Linked DNA regions of Sus scrofa. The protein of the gene in region 2 purifies or fractionates together with the protein of the main gene of each other region. This does not show direct contact. Links are inferred from orthologs where the notes say so. Each region holds a gene or a part of one and is shown on either strand. Other genes may lie near its edges.

Evidence for each region.
Region 1: the proteins of SLC39A4 (region 2) and GOLM1 purify together in Homo sapiens (affinity purification with mass spectrometry; 3 studies listed by BioGRID and IntAct, counting the BioPlex papers as one, with this or other methods). This does not show direct contact. The link is inferred for Sus scrofa from reciprocal best matches to the Homo sapiens genes SLC39A4 and GOLM1.

The regions. Positions count from the first base shown.
Region 1 is NC_010452.4:29,115,181-29,121,419, reverse strand, and holds the start of GOLM1 (Golgi membrane protein 1), read right to left. Parts: upstream 3,843-6,239; 5' UTR 3,694-3,842; intron 3,134-3,693; exon of another isoform or gene 2,961-3,133; intron 1-2,960.
Region 2 is NC_010446.5:370,347-376,731, reverse strand, and holds the start of SLC39A4 (zinc transporter ZIP4), read right to left. Parts: upstream 4,052-6,385; 5' UTR 3,810-4,051; intron 3,236-3,809; 5' UTR 2,943-3,235; coding exon 2,376-2,942; intron 1,918-2,375; coding exon 1,633-1,917; intron 1,181-1,632; coding exon 985-1,180; intron 885-984; coding exon 733-884; intron 644-732; coding exon 472-643; intron 106-471; coding exon 1-105. UniProt on the Homo sapiens protein: Selective transporter that mediates the uptake of Zn(2+). Plays an essential role for dietary zinc uptake from small intestine. The Zn(2+) uniporter activity is regulated by zinc availability.

The DNA.
Region 1 (6,239 bases), on a different chromosome or scaffold from region 2:
TAGGGGTTTAATCGGAGCTGTAGCCACCAGCCTACGCCACAGCAACATGAGATACAAGCAGCTTTTGCAAACTACACCTCAGCTCACAGCAACGCCAGATCCTTAACCCACTGAGCAAGGCCGGGGATTGAACCCACTACCTCATGGTTCCTAGTCAGGTTCGTTAACCACTGAGCCACAACGAGAACTCTCTATAATCACATATCTTTACATATATATTCTCTGGTTGGTCAGGCACTAATTAATCTTCAAAATCTCAACTAGAGAAAGTTCTATTAATGCAGCCTAGAAGGAAAATAAGATTGAAATATTGTAAAAACCTGAGAAGGCATGTATTTTTTTCTCCCCTGAAACTGTGAGAGATTTCTTTATGAAAGCAAAGTAGACTCTCTGGGAATTTAGGAAATAACCCTTAAAACTTCAAGCCAAGTCTCTCTTTTCAAGGTAATTTCATCGGTAACTCGGGAAAGTCTAGAAAAGAAAATAACCACCATCTGGGACCATCTCTGGGAGCAGGTGAAATGCAATTCACACTTTGCTCGGGTGAACGCGAGAGCATATCAAGGCCATTCCCTCTAGTTTTGCAAATCTTTAGAAAATAATTTTAACCAAGTTTAAAACAAAAAAAAAAAAAAAAAAAAGAAAATAAGTGCTTATTTTTTTTAACCCAATTATGGATGTTATTTCCTATGTTAGGTCATTAAAAAAGAAATCTTTTCTTAAGGCAACTTATTTTTTGTGAAGGAAAACAAGTGATAATACCAATTACACAACTCAATTAAAGCCCCAGGCACAGGGCCTCTCCTCCCTGTCCCTGCCTCCCCCTGTCATGGCCATGCCGGGCCTCTTTAGAAGCAGGGCTGGTCTTCAGGGACTACACTGCCTTCAAGCTCCCTTGCACTAAACTGTCTGTCACAGGATCCTGTTCCCACTCAGCACAGCCAGCGAGAGTGACACCCCACCTTCCACTCTCCCCCCAGGCAGCTTCCCCAGGCTCTACCCTGATACCCTTTGTGCTCTGCATGCAGAAAGCCAGCCTCACGGTTCGCAGGACCTTCAGCGGGGTCAGCAGTTCCCTCCCTGCTGGGGGAAAGTGGCCGCATAAATGGACCGAAGGTAGCCCTGGGCCAAACTCCGTCAACATCCTCACAGCTGTCTCAGCCCCACCCCTCAAAAAAAAAAACCAAACAATATAAATGCAAAATCTTTTCATTTCCTCATCAACAACTGGACCTAGGGCCAACGATTAGAAAGAAGAAGGCATCCGTAGCGCCTAAGTGCAAAGTCCTTGAAATCTGACCCCTCCCCCCAGCATTCCCTCTTCTCATCCTTGGTCTCTCATCTTTCAGCAAAATCAATGGGAAAGAAAAAAATGGGATAATATCTCCACAGTAGAACAAAATACATCTTGAGCCGTTAACCTGTTTTCTTCAAACATCCTAAGAATTCAATGCCTTTTGGTCACAGACACCTTAAAAACTGAGTTCCGAAGTTCCCATCGTGGCTCAGCAGAAACAATCTGACTAGTATCCGTGAGGATGCAGGTTCCATCCCTGGCCTCACTCAATGAGTTAAGGATACGGTGTTGCTGTGAGCTGTGGTGCAGGTCGAAGACACAGCTCGGATCTGGCTTTGCTGTGCTGTGGTATAGGCCGGCGGATGTAGCTGCAATTAGACCCCTAGCCTGGGAACTTCCATATGCGGGGGGGGTGCGCCTCTAAAAAGACAAAAACAAACCAAAAAAAAATTGAGTTCTGACCTAGGAACAAAAAGTCTTAGCAAGTGACTCGTTTCTGTCTACAAATAAAAAGTATTCTTCCCAAAAGCATAAGCTTAATCTTCTATAACAAACATAGGAATTGGGATGCCCTAGGAGACCCACAAGGACGGACAAGAGTCCACTACTCCCGAGGTCCCATGCTACAAAAAATTGAAAAATATGACAACTACCTAAATTTGAGTCAATCTCATGGCCATGAGCCAGAGTCACTCTAGAACCTAAGTATTTCATCAGGCTCCTGGGCATCTTACTCTGTCCCCAGGAATGTCCCCCAACAAGTGCACAATTTAGGGCAACTGGGCCTTGGAGACCCTAAACCAGACAAAGAAAATCTCAAAACCGTGAAAGCCACACAAGTTTGGTTTGGCACAATTGGAAACGGGATCTCTGAAATTGATCAGAAGCATCATGACACACTAAATACGATCATACTTAAATTCCGCTAAAAAGAACATTCATCAAAATAGGTGTTTCGCCTATTTTGTTTCACACATACACAGAAAAATCATTACAAATACTAAATAGGGCGTGAGGTATACAGAGTATGTCAACCCAGAAAACTATTTTTCCAGCAGATCAAAAGTTCTGTGAATCCCCAACACCGCCAAAGGTACAGGTACGTACGGAAGAGAACCTAAAGCAAATCTGAGGCAGGCTTCAAAGGAGTTCGGCACCTCGAGGCCCCAGGACCGGGCGTCAGGCTCCCGGTCACCTGCCAGGGCGCGACCGCTGCCAACGTGGGCACCGCGGCGGCCCGAGCGCGCCCGGGGCGGAGGGGAAAGAGAAGAAGATGAGCGGCGGAGCCAGCCCGCCCTCCCCGCGCGTCAATCACGCCCGCACCGCTGGTCCTAGCGCGACTTTGGGGATGCACGCTTTCGACTTTGGATCCCGACGCGCGTGACACAGCTAAGAACAAAAAGCGAGGCCCCGCATCTCCCCAGACCGGCCTCCGCAGGGCAGCCCAGCGGGTCGGGGCGGTCCCGGGAAGGAAGCTCTGGAGCGGGGAGATGCAGAGCCCACCCCGAACCGATTTCAGTAAAAGGCTGCGGCCCAGGTGCCAGCCGGGGGGGTGTCTCCGGGGCCCGGCGCGGGGTCCTTCAGCGCGGGCCCGGAACCGAGGAGGGACAAGGAGAGAGAAGGCTGCCAGAGGGCACGCGGGGCACGCGCGCCGCCCACTCACCTCTGGCCGAAGCTCTGGCGGCCCCTTGGTGCTGCGGGACCCGGCTTCCAGGCCGCCCGAGCCGCCCTCCCGCCGCCGCCGCCGCCGGCCTCTCGCTTCCCGCCTGCTCCGAGCCCAGTGCCCCGCGCGGCGCCCAGCGCCGCCGCGTCTCCGGCCTCCGCAGCCGCGAGACCCCGCCCCCGGGCAGCGCCGCCGGCGCAGGGAGGGAGGCGGCGCCGCGAGCGCGAGGAGGAGGCGAGGCCGGGGCTGCGCCCGGACGCCGGCCCCACGGTGCGCGCACCCGGGCCCGCGGCCGCCCCTCGGCGGGAGCCGAACAATCCCGGCGCGCCCCCTCCCGCCGCCCCTTCCCAACCCCTTGCAGTGGCTCCCGGCGTGTCTTCGGGACGCGGTTCGAGAGCAGAGTTGCGCGGTGCCGATGCTTCCGAAGGACGGGCGTAGGGTGGGAAGCGGCGGCGGAGGGAAGGGACCCAGCGAGACCACCTACCCACCCCACCCCGCATCCTACCCCCGCGGCCCACCCCCGCCCCGAAGGAATTTTCCGGAACCCAGAGACGACCACACCCAGCGCCGCACTCCTGGCCGCGCTCACGTCTCCTTTTTCAGTGGTCCCGGGCCAAACCGCCCAGCGTAGAGGGACCGAGGAAAGACGGGTCTCTAGGGAATCTCCTCACCAGTGTGCCTTTCTCTTCCACCAGCCCTTCCCATGTAGCCCTGACCTCCCCACGGCTGTTACCTCTCAGCGCTAATTTGTCGGTTTGCGACCCTCCGAGCGCAAGCCCCAGATAAAACGAAGATTGCTGGGCGCTGCGCAAGCGGGAGTCTCTAGAACTCCCTGCAGACGGAGACTGGGAGTCTGATTTGTAAACACTGCCCTGCTGCCCCTTCGGCACACGGAAGTTTGAGAAGCGTTGTTGAGCCACACCTGCCTGAGAGGATGATGGCACGGACTAATGACCGATGGAATAACGATACTAGAAAATTCTAAAGCAGTGGTTCTTAACCCTCACAGCGCTAGTCAGACGTTAGAATTATCTGGGAGCTCTTAGAGTATTGCCAGGGTCCCACCTCTGGAGTTCTGAGCCTGAGCATTGGTATTTTTGTTTGAAGGTTTCCCTGATAGTTCTAACATATGGCCAGGATTGAAATCATTTCCCTAGAATCAGCTCTTTTTGAATCTACCTGGCTCTGGTGCCTGGGAAAAGAGCCCCTTGGCTCACCTGTCCCAAATCCCAATGCCGAAGAAAAAGGGACATGCTCCTGAGGGGATGCTCACAGCCAAAATTGTTTTCCACCCAAACAGGCTTATCTTGAAAATGGTGACCAAGATGCTTTAGTACCACCTGAGCATGGGTCTCCTTAACTTCAGGATGAGTATCTTTATGAGCCAAAATCTTTTACCTGAATAATGAGCTGGCAATAATGACCCCTTTGGAGTCATATTCTGTAGAGTCCAATATGATGTTTTCATTACCTGTTGTTAGACTGCCAGCTGGTCACACCAGGTGTTCAAAAGCTGAGAGTGTGTTGTTGCCCCTGAGACCTGGCTTTTCTGAGGGTTTGACTTGAAGCTCTTGGTGCTGATCTTCTGCTGACCTTCAGTGTCCAAAATCAGGGCTTTGGGACAAGAACAGTAATTTCCCTCATTGCCCCTTTTGGCTCTCCTAGTAATGTTGTGCCTTCTTAGATTGTGGACTGTAACTTCCATCTCATTTGCCTCTAAGTAGGTCTCCATTAGTGTTGCTCATTTATCAACAGCTAATTAGTGATGAAGTCAGTAATTCTTAAGCACTTTATGGGAGAGGTCCATATGTCTAGGTACTAGGGAAGCTGGCTACATTAACTACATCTTCACTGAAAGAGAATCAGCCCTTTTCAAGCTTTATAAGAATCTTCGTGACGAAATTGAGAATTTTTAAGACATTCTTTTGAAGTTCTTTGAAGAGACAATACTTATATATGCAATAGTGCATATGTAAAAGGATTTACATTCTTTATAAAGCTCTCTTCTATTTTCTCAAGTCTTCTCACCCAGAGGGTTTGATGTAATCAGTTGCTGACTTTAAAAATTCTGCTGGAGAGATGTTGATTAAACAATGTGCACGGGGCCAACGGGGGTTGGTGGCAGTGGCACCGGTTTTGTCTGTTCAGCATCCTTTCCCTTACTAGCTAATGGCACCTGATTTCCATACAGGCACTTATCTCCTGCTCTCCAAGGGATATAGCCTTGGTTGGGCTGTCAATCAAAGTGATGTCCTCTGCAGCTCAAGGGGTAGACCCTTTGCATTTGTTTTCTGTTTGCTGCCCTAACAAATTATCACACACCTAGAGTTAAAATGACACGGTTCTGTTAGTCAAAAATCTCACTGGGCTAAAACCAAGGTGTCAGCAGGGCTCCATTCCTTTCCAGAGGCTCTCAAGAAGATCCATTTTATTGCCTTTTCCAGTGTCTAGAGACTGCTTGCATTCTTCAGCTCATAACCGGCTTCTTTTATTTTCCAAACCAGCAAGCTTCAAAATCAGGAATACCTCTCTAATCCCACTTCCATAGTCACTTCTCTCAGATCCAGCTGAGAAAGTTTCTTCACTTTTTTTTTTAAGGGCCAGGCCCGCGGCATATGGAGGTTCCCAGGCTAGGGATCGAATGGGAGCTGTAGCCACTAGCCACAGCCACGGACACAGCCACGGACACAGCCTCAGCCCCAGCAATGCCAGATCTGAGCCACATCTGCGACCTACACCACAGCTCACAGCAACTTTGGATCCTTAAACCACTGAGCAAGGCCAGGGATCAAACCTGCCTCCTCATGGATTAGATTTGTTTCAGCTGAGCCATGACAGGAACTCCAAGTTGCTTCACTTTTGAGGACCTTTGTGATTCCATTGGTTCCACCCAAATGATCCAAGATAATCTCCTTAGCGCGGGTCCTTAATTTAATCACCTCTGCAAAGGCGCTTTTGCCATTCAAGGTAACTTTGACAGGTTTCAGGGATTAAGACAGGAACATCTTTTTTTTTTTTTTTTTTTTTTTTTTTTATAGTTTTTTTTGTTTTTTTTTTTTTTTTTTTTTTTTTTTGTTGTTTGTTGTTGTTGTTATTGCTATCTCGGGCGCTTCGGCATATGGAGTTCCAGGCTAGGGTTGAATCGGAGCTGTAGCTACCGCCTACGCCAGAGCCACAGCAACGTGGATCCGAGCCGAGTCTGCACCTACACCACAGCTCACGGCACGCCGGATGTTACCCACTGAGCAAGGCAGGACGAACCCCGACCTCATGGTTCCT
Region 2 (6,385 bases):
TGACGTAGTGGGTAGCAGCACTGCAGCTGGCACAGGCAAGGAGCAAGAGCCCAAAGATGGAGCAGAGGCAGATGAGCAGTGTGGCCAGTGAGCCGTACAGGTACCCTGGGGGCAGGGCAGGGGCAGTGAGAGCCTCCTTCTCAGCCTCAGCCCCCACCCCTGCCTCCCAGGGAAGGGTGTCCAGGTGGGGCCCCAGAAGTGAGCGGGAGCTCACCCAGACCGCAGGTGCTCAGGGGCAGGCCTGGCCTCCGCTCAGTCAGCGGGCCTCCAAGCCCCACCTTCTTCCCTTCCAGGCCTCCACACTGGCCCTGACCCCCTACTCCGGTGCCACTCTCCTCTGCCCAGTCCTGGCCCAGCTCTCCCATGCCTCCCAGCCCAGCGGCCGCTCCCTGCTCGCTCTGTGGTCCCACCTCCATCTGCCAGGCCCCAGGGCTTGGCCAGGCAGGCACAGCTGGGGAGGTGGGCACTCACTCTCTGACTGGCTGAGCTGGTCCTGGGTGGGGTGCATGGGTTGGGGGCTGCAGGCCCCACTCAGCTGTTGCTGGAGCAGGGCAGGGCTCAGCTGGGCCCAGGCCTCCGGGGTCACCCCAGCCTGCTCAGACAGCCCATACACAGCCATCACGTCTCCGGCACTCAGGCACATCTGCGAGCGTGACAGGACTGGGGGTCAGGGACCTGAGCAGACCCTGGGACCCCATCTCTCTCCAGGACTAGGATGCACAGGTTGCTCACCGTGTCCCACACGCTGGAGCTGCTGTTGGGGCTGGCAGGGGGCACGGGGCCAGGCTGGCTGGCTTCCTTTCCCAGATGACCCTGCTCGCTGTGGTCACCATGGGGCTCGCTCACTCCGCCCACGCCCAGGCGCTGCATCAGGGCTGCCAGCTCTGGCCGAGAGGGCAGAATCACAAAGTTTGTGTGGGTCGCAGACCTGCCCTCCCCTAGGGCATGGAGGGGGCAGGGGTGGTGGGCCCTGCTCTGCCTCACCAGCCAGTGTGATGTTGGGAGTCTCGCCACTGTGCTCCCGGAACACAAAGTCCACGAAGTACTGAGGGGTCGGCAGGGCACGGAAGCAGGAGCCGCTCCTGGCATGGTCCAGCAGAGCAGCGAGCACCGGGCCGGGGCTGCCAGGAGCCCCCGCCCTGGCCGCCTCCTCCAGCAGCTGAGGCAGGTCCACACAGGCCTGGGGAGGAGCTGGGGCTCAGCCTCAACGGGCAGTGTGGCCTTCCTGACCTCTAGCTCTGCCGTAGCCTTTTGTGTCCCCTGGACACCTCTGACCCAGACCAGCCGCCTCCCAGCACCACCTCTTCCCGCCCACCTAAGGCCTGGGCCCCGCCCCTGCCCCGCCCCTCCCTGCTACCGCAGCCCTTCCCCTTCCCCTTCCTGGCCCAGCTGGTCCAGACTGCCCCCCTTGACACTCCCACCCCAGCGCCTCCCTGTAGCCCCAGGAGCTCTCTGGCGAGGGCCCCTCCTGGGACTCCTGCAGCCCGGCCCTACTCCGCGGTGAACACAATTTGTGATTCTCCCAGCCCGGCCTCCCCGCTGTGTCCCCAGGTCTCCCACGGGCCCAGAAAGGCGTTGAGGCCTCACCCCCTAAGCAGTCCCCCCACTGGCTCTCCTGGCCAGGGCCCTCACCCCCTCTGAAGGGGACCAGCCGACAGCCTGGGACTGAATCCTCTGCAGCAACCTGGTCAGACCCAGGGTCAGGGCCTCTGGGCTCTGGAGCTGGGCCAGGAGGTGGTCGGCTCGTGAGGCCCAGCGGCCAGCACGCACGTCTGTGCATGTGCCCTCGGGGTCGCTGAGGTAAAGGGCAGAGGCAGCGCTCAGGCGGGCGATGTGCCTGGGCTCCAGCACTGGGCTGGAGGGGAGTCCTGGCTTCTCAGGCCTGCCCAGGGCCAGGGCGTCGTCCACCGACAGGCACTGTGGGCAGAGGCGGAGATGAGATGGGCGGGCAGGGGCCAGGCATCTGTGACCCCGGAGCTGGAGCTGCCCCCTTTCCCGGGGGGGGGCCACACGTGGACCACCATCCTCAGGCTCTGTCACCCTCACGCCCCCTCTCACTGCTCCCCACACCCTTCCCCACCCCACCCCAGGGACAGAGGTGCACGCACAACACACGGAGGGGTCCCGCCCGCCCAGGGCGGTCTCTTCCCAGACACGCCAGTTTGATCTGGTGAGCACGGGGTGGGGGACCCAGTGCAGCCCCCATCCGGGAAGGCAGGTCCCTCCGAATGCCCAGCAGAGGAGGGTGGGCTTGGGCCAGCAAGGTCAGGGCGCCTGGCCGCCGCTCGGCCCGCCTCCTGGAGTTTACCCAGGGCCCTTTGCTGCCGGGCCTCGGGGCGGGCTGGAGCCGGGGGACCCGTCGGGTGGGGCCTTACCTTTCCACACGGCCCGGTGGCGCAGTGCACACGGGCCGCCAGTGTATTTAACAGGCCGCCCAGCGCCACGCGGTCCAGAACGCCTTGGCCTGAGGACAGCAAGGTCAGCAGCCGGGCCGGTTGGGTCGCCGTTGCGGAGGCCAGCAGCACAGCCAGCAGCAGCCCCAGCCGGGCCAGGCCAGCCATGCTGCGGCCCCCGGGGGCTGCGCGCTCTGGGGAGGTGGCACGCGCCAGGATGGCTGCAGGCTGCATGGGCTGCCCGGTGCCGGACTGGGGCTGGGCCCGGCCAGGCGCCCTCCGGGCCTTGCCCGCGGGGCCCTGTGATTGGCTGCGGAGGCGTCCTGGGTTAACCATTCCAGCGGCAGATCCTCCCCGCTTGAAGTGGCCGCCCTGGGGGGCGAGGGCTGGGCCCCTCCTGGATGGGCCACCCAGAGCCGCAGGGCAGGGCCGCCACCCCCTACCCCACTCCCCCGAGGGTCTTGGTACGGAAACCCTGCCCAAGGCGCAGTGAGGCCAAGCAAACAAAACGTCACCCTTTGGAGCAGAGAAAGTTTTACTGCAGGCCATTCCAGGAGACAGGTGGCGTGTGTGCAAAGCCCTGAGTTCCCAGAGGGTTTGGGGCGCTGGGGTCCCGGGGTCCCGCCCCGGCGGTCAGGGGGTTTCCCGAAGAGGAGGGGCGGCGGGCGCAGGAAGAGCGGAATCGCACACCCTCTGGAGCAGCGCTCAAGCGGTCTCCAGTGCAAGGATGAACAGCAGCAGCTTATACAGGGAAAGAACCTACAACTTACATCGGCGAAGAAGATCAATATCTCGTGACTGCTCCAGGGTTACAGTTTAAGTGTAAAGACAGAAAAAGGCACCTGGATGGGGGAAAGTACGCCATCAACCCATTAAAGAGCAACCGGGCAGGTAGCTAAAGTCACATGTAGGCCGCAAGCAACCTTTGCAAATGTCGCATGCGTATTGTTGTTTCTTCAAAATAAAATGCCTGGTTACTATCTTAACAGTAACCCTATTTTAATTTTTATATCATAATAATCTTTGATACATTCTCTGCCTAAATCAAGACAACAATCATCAGCAATTTCTAAACTGTATTTTATTTTATTCTAAATAAACTTTAGCTGAATAATGCATACCAATACTATCGAAGATTATCTTGCAGAAAACAGAAATCCCTTCCAAAAAACCATTCTCTCCGTAATAAACAGCATGGAGCCATACTCTAGAGATGACCAAAGGCCAGCAGGCAAGACTAATTCAAGATTTAAACAGAAGGGAATTAATTCTTTTCTTAGGGTGAAAGAACAAACAGTAGACAAGGCACAGTGTGAGCAGGACACAGATCAGTTATTGAAAACAAAGAAAACACAAAGGACTGTATCCCCAGGCATCACGGCTTCTGGTTTCTGGGGGGCCTAGCAAACAGCAAACCTGCTGCTTTGCAGACTTCTTCAGAATCCCCCGGACTTTGTCATCAGGCAGATTCCTTTCTCGAAATTCGGCTCCCAGCAGTGGGGGAGAAGTTTTTAACAGGCAGGATTTGGTTTGAGGGCTGCAGTGCGTGTGCGTGCCTGCGAGTGTGTGTGTGCAGGCGCGCGCGTGCCTGCGAGTGTGTGCGCCCGCGCGTGCCTGCGAGTGTGTGTGTGCGCGCGCGTGCGCGTGCCTGCGAGTGTGTGTGTGCGCGCGTGTGTGTGCGCGCGTGTGTGCGTGCCTGCGAGTGTGTGTGTGTGCCAGCTTTGTTCTGATTGGTCAGTGGCGAGGTCACGGTGCTGTTCCAGGACTCTCGGTCTTCAGCCCTAAGGTTCCAGCCAGCCTGGGGTCTCCTTCCTTGGCCGGGGCGGGAGCCTTAGCTCCTCGGAGGAGCTCAAGGATATCGGTCTGTGTGTCCCTCAAGGAGGAACCTGGACCCTGCCCAGGGTGTGTGAGCCCATCTTGACGGTCCCTCCCTTTTCTGCATTCCTTCGCTTCCCTGATTAGCTTCGGCTGGAATCTGCCCTTGGAACTCAGGCCAGGACGGTCTTAGGGGGCTGGATGAAGCCTGTTTCCTACAAACAAGAAGTGGGGGACACGGAATGGGTTTGTGCTCAGGAGGCCCCTGCAGAGTCCTGCTCAGTCTCCCCGCCCCCACCTTGGGAGGCATCTCAGTCTTGAGGAGAACAGGTGTTAGGTAAGTGCAGGAATGGCACTTTGCATCCAGGAGTTAAGTACAAACTCTGCAGGGGTACTCGGTTTGGGGACTCGAATTCAGTCTGGGTGTCGCTACCTATGGCCCTTTCTCTAGGGGCTGCTCCCAAGCCACGGGGCCTGGGACAAAGGTCCCAGGCTGCTGTCCAGGGCCTCCCAGCTCGGGCAGCTTAGATGCCCCAGAGCCTTTGAGCTCTTCCTCCGGTGGGGATGAGGGGCCCTCTCCACTGGGGTCCCTGGATGAGGTCTCCATGCTGGGGTGGGCTGGAGTCTGAGGGGGGCTAAAGTCCTGCTGGGTCCTGCTCCTCCTCCAGGGGAAGTTCCCCAAGAAATGGCTAAACAGGAGCCCAAGCCCCCCCCACCACTCAGTGAGGGGCCGCCAGGCTCCAGGCCCGGCCCTGCCCTTCCTTGCTGGTTCCCACTCTGGCCTTTGAACGCCTAGGCCTTATCTCTGCCTTGTTGGCAGTCTGGGGAAAGGGGCCCCATGGAACACCCTGTTCAGCCTTCAGGGCCGCCTTGCCTTCCACACCTGGCTCCACACAGACCCTTGGCCCTGACCCTGCAGGGTGTGGCTGCAGTGGGGGAGGAGAGGCTCCAGGGAGCGGACCCTAGGCCCTGAGGACTCTGCCCCCATTGTCCTGTGGCATCAGGCTGAGGACAGTGTCCTGGGCTTGGGTTCAGGTGCGGCTGGATGGCCCTGCAGTGTGACATTGGTGGGTCTTAAAGGGATGTTGGGGAAGCGGGGGATGGGAAGAGTTGTCAGGGGTTCAGAGGATTCCTGGACCCCTGGTCCATGAGGAGGTTAAGCCAGAAAGACTTGGCCACCCCCTGTCCCCCCAGCTGTGACATCTGTGGGCCAGACTGCCTGTTTCCTAGCCCATCTTGCCAGGACCTTTGGGCCGGCGAGAGCTGGAGCTGGGGACCAGGCCACCGCTTCAGCTCTTCCTCTGCTCAAGGCCCCGTTATCTGCTGGGGAAAGGTCTCAGCCCAGCCATTCAGCCGGCCTTGCCAGGTCCCCTGCTGGAGGCCTGACCCATGGCTGGCATGCCCTGAGGCTTCAGAACATCTGTGCTGGCCCACACTTCTCTGCTGATGGCCCCCCACCCTATGCCCTCCTTCCCAGCCCAGAGCAGCTGTGGAGAGCACTGCCGACTCCCCTGCATGTCTGCCTGGCTCCTGCCTGCACACTGCAGCTGCTCCTGTCTAAAAACAGACGCCCACTGCTGGTGGGAATGTAAGCTGGTACAACCACTATGGAGAGCAGTATGGAGATACCTTAGGAAACCCGTACATAGAATGACCATATGACCCAGCAATCCCACTCTTGGGCATATATCTGGACAAAACTTTCCTTAAAAAAGATGCATGCACCACATGTTCATTGCAGCTCTATTCACAATAGCCAAGACATAGAAACAACCCAGATGTCCATCGACAGATGTTTGGGTTAGGAAGATGTGGTATGTATACACAGTGGAATACTACTCAGCCATAAAAAATGAAATGCCATTTGCAGCAACATGGATGGAACTAGAGACTCTCATAGTGTGAAGTCAGAAAGAGAAAGACGAATACCATATGATCTCACTTCTACCTGGAATTTAATATAAGGTGCAAATGAACCTTTCCACAGAAAAGAAAATCATGGATTTAGAGAATAGACTTGTGGTTGCCAAGGGGGAGGAGGAGGGAGTGGGATGGACTGGGAGTCTGGGGTCAATAGACGCAAACTGTTGCCTTTGGAATGGATGAGCAATGAGATCCTGCTGTGTAGCACTGGGAACTATGTCTAGTCACTTATGATGGAGCCTGATAATGGGGGA